2 linked regions of the Nothobranchius furzeri genome follow. The protein of the gene in region 1 purifies or fractionates together with the protein of each later gene. This does not show direct contact. Links are inferred from orthologs where the notes say so. Each region holds a gene or a part of one and is shown in the gene's direction. Other genes may lie near its edges. The genes, in order: ikbkb and prkcq.

Evidence for each region.
Region 2: the proteins of ikbkb (region 1) and prkcq purify together in Homo sapiens (affinity purification with western blotting; 4 studies listed by BioGRID). This does not show direct contact. The link is inferred for Nothobranchius furzeri from reciprocal best matches to the Homo sapiens genes IKBKB and PRKCQ.

Annotation. Positions count from the first base shown.
Region 1 is NC_091757.1:55,658,095-55,661,916, reverse strand, and holds part of ikbkb (inhibitor of nuclear factor kappa-B kinase subunit beta), read left to right. Parts: intron 1-3,478; coding exon 3,479-3,599; intron 3,600-3,822.
Region 2 is NC_091741.1:35,642,440-35,646,261, reverse strand, and holds part of prkcq (protein kinase C theta type), read left to right. Parts: intron 1-2,860; coding exon 2,861-3,049; intron 3,050-3,203; coding exon 3,204-3,332; intron 3,333-3,822. UniProt on the Homo sapiens protein: Calcium-independent, phospholipid- and diacylglycerol (DAG)-dependent serine/threonine-protein kinase that mediates non-redundant functions in T-cell receptor (TCR) signaling, including T-cells activation, proliferation, differentiation and survival, by mediating activation of multiple transcription factors such as NF-kappa-B, JUN, NFATC1 and NFATC2.

The DNA of each region.
Region 1 (3,822 bases):
TTCTGTGTGGTTTTTAACTATTTAAGCCATGTACTAATAAAGGCTTTTTATTTTGTATCTCCTGAGTGCCTCAGATCTTCTTTTGTCAACATTTATGTGGATCCCTTGGCTGAAGAGCACCAGATAAAATTTCTTACACCCCTGCAGCACTTCCAGCATTTTTTCTATTTTCATGAAATAATCCATTGTTTGGAACAACACCCCCTTCACCACATTTTTAAGGATCTCGGGAGCTCTTTCATTGGGCGAATGTTAATGCCCTGGTGCTCCACTGAACGTTTTAGGAACTCTTTTATTCCAGCTGCAGTGCGTTTTTACAATGAGCATTTCGTATGATTGTATATTTGATATTTTTATCATGATTGTGGCTTATAGCAGTGACCAGTGAATGTTTTATTGTGTGGATGTGCATGTTGTGTTTACTTGTCCAAGGCAATTCAATTTCCCCCTGGGGGATTAATAAAGTCAACCTCGAACCTTGAACCTTGAACTGGTTTGGGTTTGCTGCGACGTACGTGGAGCGTGGCACTTTTATTCCAAGAGGGTGTTCATTTATTCAGAAATGAGGGTTACATTTGTCTTGCTTGTGATTAAATAAAAAACTAAATTGGCTTTAAGATGCCTTCCATTTGTACTTATTGCAATTATTTATAATTGAGGAGGAACGAATCATAAAAAAATTCGTAAATCAAATACAAAAAAATAAAATTGGAGATTTTATTTTTAGGTCGTATCGCCCAGCCCTAGTAACACACCATGAGATCCTGAGGAGGTAAAAAATGTGATTTTCTTTTAAAGAGCAAGTCAACCCCTACCAGAGTCTAACTCCACTCTCACTTCATGTTTGAAAAATGCAACACATGCTGTTGCCTGGCAGACCGAGAAGGCGGAGCCACTAACAAATACCCACACACACAGGCTCACGACAGCATTGTGACATCATAATGTACCAGTTTACATCATAGCATACCTCTTAGCCAATAGCGGTGGCAGATTTAAATTAAAATACAGTGCAGAGTTTTTACCTTACAACGGCACAACACTGCCAGTTTTAGGCAAAATATTTAAATTTTAACTAAGATGCACTGAAGTGCGAAATTAATCACTACATCTGTCTGCAGCACGATTAGACACTCGTTTATTTAGTTTATCAGCGAAAAAAAGCTTATTTGGGGGTGACTTGCTCTTTAAAGTTTTCTTCAATCTAACTGCTCTGTAAGGCAAGCAATTTGCTTTTGTTTTTCTCTTTTACATGTATAAATGTCTCTGCCTTCTAATAATGAACAACAACAGAAAAGTAAAAAAAAAACAAGAGTAAACATCAAGAAAAAATTACTTGAGGTTTTTTATTTTTAGTTTGTAAAATGTCCCATTTGTTTAAATCAAGGGGGCGGGACATAGCATTGCACGTTTTAGCCGTTGGCTAATGCAGATACAAATTCAATGCCTTGCATAGTTTCAAGCTGAAGATGGAACTAGACGTGACGTTTTTAGGCTGAATTTAGAGTTTTTAAAGAAAATGCACCAAAATGCAAAACGAATGACTACACCTGTCTACAGCATATTTGACACTCATTTATAGTTTATCAGCAAAAAAAGTTGATTTTGGTGTGACTTGCTCTTTAAAGCTTATACAGGAGTCAGCCACTAGAGGGCAGCTGTTCCTTTTAGTTTAAATCCTGTGTCTCTAAAAGCTGCAATAGCAAATTTGGAAAACATAGTGTAGCTACAGATATATTGTGGTGATAAATAAGCAACAAAAATACCTAATAAAGTGGTTCTCTCACATTTGTAATAAAACCTCCACCAATAACACGTTTTGGACCAAAGCAACCATTAGACCATCTGGTTGTCTGTCTCGCAGAACCTCCACATTCACCCTGAGTCCTTCACTTTTACACATTTGATAGTTTAGCAACAGAACACCACTGGTGTGAGAGGTTCATGGTTCAATAATATCAGAGGAGGAGAAACAGCCGGCTGCTACCGCTTCAACTTTAGAACAAACTACCAGAGGCCCAAAAAGAAAAACACCTTTTAAATCCACGGACAACAACAGACATTTGGACCTAGAACGCTAGCGACTGGTGTTTAGCACTATCTCAGTTGCTCTGACAACGCGGGTTTTCGGTTCCGGCAGAAGTACCTCAGGGGTGGGGTGAGTGTTCCGTGATCGGGTTTACCTTCAAAACCTAGCTTGTTCTGTAGATTCACTAAAGCAGCTTTAAAGAGCAAGTTGACCATGTTTTATTTGTTATTTTTGACACCCGTCACTATGAGTTTCACTCACAGCGTAAATGTGAAAATTGTTTTCTACACACAATTTGCTGCATTTGCCACTGATAGAAAATAGACGAGGAGATGCGCGGGTCAGAAAAAGCAACACAGATCTACATTAAATTGTCCGTTCATGGACTCATCCATCTCGGCTTGTGATTGCGGGAGGTTGTTTGGATTTAGTGTCCAGGGGAGAACAAATTGCCTCTTAGCTAGTAGACGCTAACCGTTAGCATTAGCAACTCCACAACAAGGCAGAACTCCTTTAGTCTTGTGTTATCTGTGGAGATAAATCATCAACATTGCAGAGTGAATGGAGGCAGTGGAAGAGTAGTGTTGCTGTTAACCAATCAATCAATCAATCAATCAAATTTTATTTCTAAAGCGCTTTTCAAACAAAGTGTGATTCAAAGTGCTTTACAAAATGACCCCAGATTCCCATAACAGGTTAAAAACATTAACAAACATATGCAAGCACACGCACACACAGACTCACACACACACAAGTAAAAATTATATTAGGCTGAGTCCAGATGAGCCAAGTATGGTGACGCAAGGAAACGCCATCAGAGGAGCCGTCTGCCCCGGCAGCATCAGGTCTTCCACACTAAGTCAGGGCGCTCAGTGGAGGGGGGGCATAGACCCCCACCTATAGAGCGCCCAGGAAGCTACAGTCGACCACCGCTCCCGGGGCAGAGGGCCCCCACAGAGGAAACACTGGATTAAAATGAGTAAAAATGTAATAAAAGAGCTAATATAAATGACAACAATTAGAAAATAAGTAATAAATAAAATGATATAGACAGTAAAATAATAATTTCAATAATAAAAGTGTGCTAAAGTATAATTATATAGAACATGCAAAGCAAGTAATAAAATATAATCATGTAAAACGAAAAATAAATCAGAAGCGAGATGTCTGAGTATCGTAAATATTAATGAGTAAGACACCAAACTGCTGTTTTCTGTTCCCACTCCTCCGGTTAACTTCTACTTCCTGAGAGTTTTTTACGAAAGGAAACGACTCATAAGGCATTCATTTATACTAGAGACCACAGCAAATGTATTGAATGAGAGGTTTAATGATTTTAGAAAAAAAAACAATTTTTTGTGTAAAACATTAGTAAGTTTCTACATCAGGTGATAGCATGAAGTGTTTTTCAGGAAGTTTTCACTTCGCTGATGTTGTGTCTTCTCTCAGGTTGGATCATGTTAACGTGGTCGCAGCCCGAGAAGTTCCCGAGGGGATGCAGCAACTCGTAGCCACCAATGATCTGCCGCTGATGGCCATGGAGTACTGTCAGGGCGGAGATTTGAGAAAGGTGTGGATGTTGGAGAACATGTGCATAAGCATGATTTGATTGGCTTGTTACCACAAGGGTTGAGTCTCTATTTTAGTTTTGAATTTATACTTTTGTCCACATTTCCCGTCAGATTTTATTACGTTTGTACTGAATACTTTCTAACGTTATGCTGGCGTTTACCACCTGTTCTCATGTTGATGATTTGTATAAATTCTTTTTAGTCCTTTGCACCATCCAGTTG
Region 2 (3,822 bases), on another chromosome or scaffold:
GCAGCGGCCAGCGGCAAAGCCGTCGACGCGTTCTGTTCTGTGGCGAAATCGAATCTTCTGTTGTTTTGATTGGCTGTGTCAGGTTGGAGGGAATTAAGGTTATTTAAGCGGTTCAGAGTTTAAAAAAGCGGTAGATATGATGTTTCACAAGGTGCTGCTAGAGTTATGTGAAGCCTCCCGTGTATCAGGTAATAAAAACGACAGCAACGCATTTCGCTGATTGCGGTCGTTTGTCGCCTCCCGTGTATCGAGCCCACAACCAGGTAGGTAGGTTTTAACGTTGCAAATCTGCAACGCCTGCCTCCAGAGGGTTAAGCAAACTTCCAGCTTCTCCTGGCATAACCCCGTATCGCATGCTGGGTACTGGGGGTAGGGGTTGTATCAACTAGCCGACTAGTCGACTTCACTGCTCTGTAGTGACTTTTTATGCCTTTCATAGACTAGTCGCTGTCACGTGATAATGACCGACAAGATGGAGTCCTCGGAAAAGGCAGCAGGTGATGTGCCCCTGCGCGTCGGTATCTGACGCCCGCCGTAAAACGGACATTTGACCGAATTGTGACCTTTACCCTCTTGCAATTTAACCTTTACCTCACCCCCATCCTAACCTTAACCTACGGTGGCCCTGAAGTGCAAACCACAAAAACAAATCACAAAACGCACAACAAAATGAAAAGCGCAAAAACAAATTCACTAAACGCAAAACCAAATTGAAAACCACAAAAACAAAAAACAAACCGGAAAAGGTAGGTACCAATGATGCAACAACAGGCATCACTGATTGAATGATGGATCCGTTGGCCTTTTGAACCGGAAGTTGTTCTGCCGAACGTGGTTATGTGAAAGAGCAGTCAGCGGGTGTGTCCGAATCCACAGGAAGGATGCTTGGAGTACGGGTCCTTGCCGGTCTAGCAAGGCCGGGTACTTGCCAGACCGCTAAGACCGGAACCCAGCGGCTCTGAATTCGGACAGTCTAGCCTTCACCTCTACGGTGGCCCGTAGGTCCCGTCACAGCCGTGGCGGCAACTAATGTAATGTAATGTAATGTAAATTGGACCTTAGAACTTATTTTGCATCAAATGGGGGTAAAACCCACCTTTCTCAGGGGCCTAGTGGTAGAGTGTCCGCCCTGAGACTGGGAGATCAGGGTTCGATTCCTGGTCGGGTCATACCAAAGACTTTGAAAAAATGGGACCCAATGCCTCCCTGCTTGACACTCAGCATTAAGGGGTTGGATTGGGGGCTTAAACCACCAAATAGTTCCCGAGCGCGGCTGTGTCTGCAGCTCACCGCTCCCCCAGGGGATGGTCAAATGCGGAGAATAAATTTCGCACACACACCTGTGTGTGTGACAACTAATGGGACTTTAACTTTAACTAGCAAGGACCCGGCCTTGCTAGACCGGCGAGGACCCGTACTCCAAGCATCCTTCCTGTGGATTCGGACACACCCGCTGACTGCTCTTTCACATAACCACGTTCGGCAGAACAACTTCCGGTTCAAAAGGCCAACGGATCCATCATCCAATCAGTGATGCCTGTTGTTGCATCATTGGTACCTACCTTTTCCGGTTTGTGTTTTGTTTTTGTGGTTTTCAATTTGGTTTTGCATTTAATGAATTTGTTGTTGCGCTTTTCAATTTGTTGTGCGTTTTGTGATTTGTTTTTGCATTAAGTGATTCGTTGTTGCGTGTTTCAATTTGTTGTTGCGGTAAATGATTTGTTTTTGTGGTTTGCACTTCAGGGCCACCGTATTAACTAGCTTGCGCAAGCAAAACTTTGTTTCGTGTTTCATCCTTCCTCTCAAACACGCTTAACGGAAAATTTAGACTAACATACTGAGTAAAGGTTAGGATGGGGTGAGGGGAAGGTTAAATAGCAAGAGGGTAAAGGTCACAATTCAGTGAAATCTCCGTTTTACCTCGGGCGCCAAAAAGCGAGCAGAGCAGAGCGTCGCCTCCCGACGCGCGTCGGAAAAAAACGCTTGGTCACCCATCGTCAGTTTTAGCCGCTTCAGGTGTATGACGTCATCAATGATTCGCCAAAGTCGACTAGATTTTCACTACTTGACTGTCGACTTTTCAAAAAATGAAGTCATGCAACCCCTACTGGTGGGCATTCTCGCTGACTGACAGCTCCGTCTTGTGATCCGCGATTCCAGATTCACGTAAATGATTCGTTCTGTAGAGCTGGATAAATAAAAATGATGAAAGGTTATCTACTCAGTACCATAAAGGAGGGGTAGATAATCAGATTTACTTTGAGTTACTTCATTTAAACCAGCTACCCCAGCTTTAATGGTACGTGTTAGGGTTTTAATATATTTCACTGTCTTAAATGTTCTTTTCTAAGTAATCGTGTTGTAAAGTAAGTCTCGGGGCTTTTTCCTTTCAGCCCTGCTCTGGTATGCTGATAAGGCATGTAGTTTGTCTTTGTGTGGGGTTGGTGGAATAATCTGCCCAGCAACAGGAATCCATAGTTTCTGAGTGACTCAGCAGTTTTCGGCTGTCGGCAGGCAACTCCATAAATTGAGACTTCCTTTTTGGAATGTCCCGCCTTAGCCTAGAAACAACACTGTTATTGGCTAGCGGAGACAGTGATGACTTGCTCTTTGTTCATTTTTCCTGTGTTTTAATTAAAACGCTGTGGTGGGGGGAGAGAGTTAGAGTGAGTCTGGCCGAGTTGCTATTCACACATCTTCCGCCTCTCTCTCCGCTGCAGCGTATAACCTTATTGATCCTTTCTCTTGTGTGGTTTATTTTAAGGATATAAAAATACCCAACGGTACGTAAAACCTGAGCTCAGCTGAAAGTGAAAGTGTCTCGTCAGCTTTTCCAGATATTTGTGTTTGTTTTTACCAGATCCTGTTGGGTCAGAAGTACAACAGCTCAGTGGACTGGTGGTCATTCGGCGTGCTGCTCTACGAGATGCTGACTGGTCAGTCTCCTTTCCACGGCTGCGACGAAGAGGAGCTGTTTCAGTCCATCCGAACAGATAATCCCGTTTATCCCAGCTGGCTGACTAAAGCAGCAAAGGACATTCTAGTCAAGGTAAAGGGCTGTGAGTTAAATAAGAAAAGTATAACAGCCCAATGAGAAGGCTAAAGAATAAATGCTGTAATATGTGTAGTTTTATCATTTATTCCCGTCTTCCCTTCGTGTCTGACACGGGTGCCCGGTGTGTAACGGGTGTGTCGTCCATCAGCTGTTTGTGAGGGAGCCTGAGGAGCGGCTGGGCGTGAAGGGCAACATCCGACATCACGGGTTCTTCAGCAGCGTCGACTGGAAGGCTGTGGAGCAACGGCAGGTGGCGCCGCCCTTTAAACCCACTTTGGTACGCAGAAAAACATCCTGTCTACTCCTTGCGTTTATCTCCAGTCAAGATGTGCTGCAGTTGTTTAGATCCCAACAATAAACATCTCGTCACTAACAAAACAACTTGAGAGCATTTCCAAGGAAAACTAAATAAATTCTTTAGAAATTGTCTAATTCCAGGAACGATATTATTGTGTCTGATCTGTGAAGCTGTTCAGACATGCAGGAAAGCCTTTCCTCCATCAGTGCATCCATCACCCAGGTTAGGGTGGTCTCTGACTAAACCACCATCACTGGTAGCGACCACACAGCCTAACGAGTTTCTCAGGAGGAAGTGAGGATGAGTGAGGTTTTTCATATGAGTAGAACATTTTAATTTTGCTGATCACATCAGTACACTTGTTTAGTTAGCCTAGGTCTTGGCAGCTTAGCGGACATCCTCCTTGCCACTCTTACACCTTAAGTCTGCGTGCAAACGATCAGCTGTTACTTTGTGTTCGCACCGAACC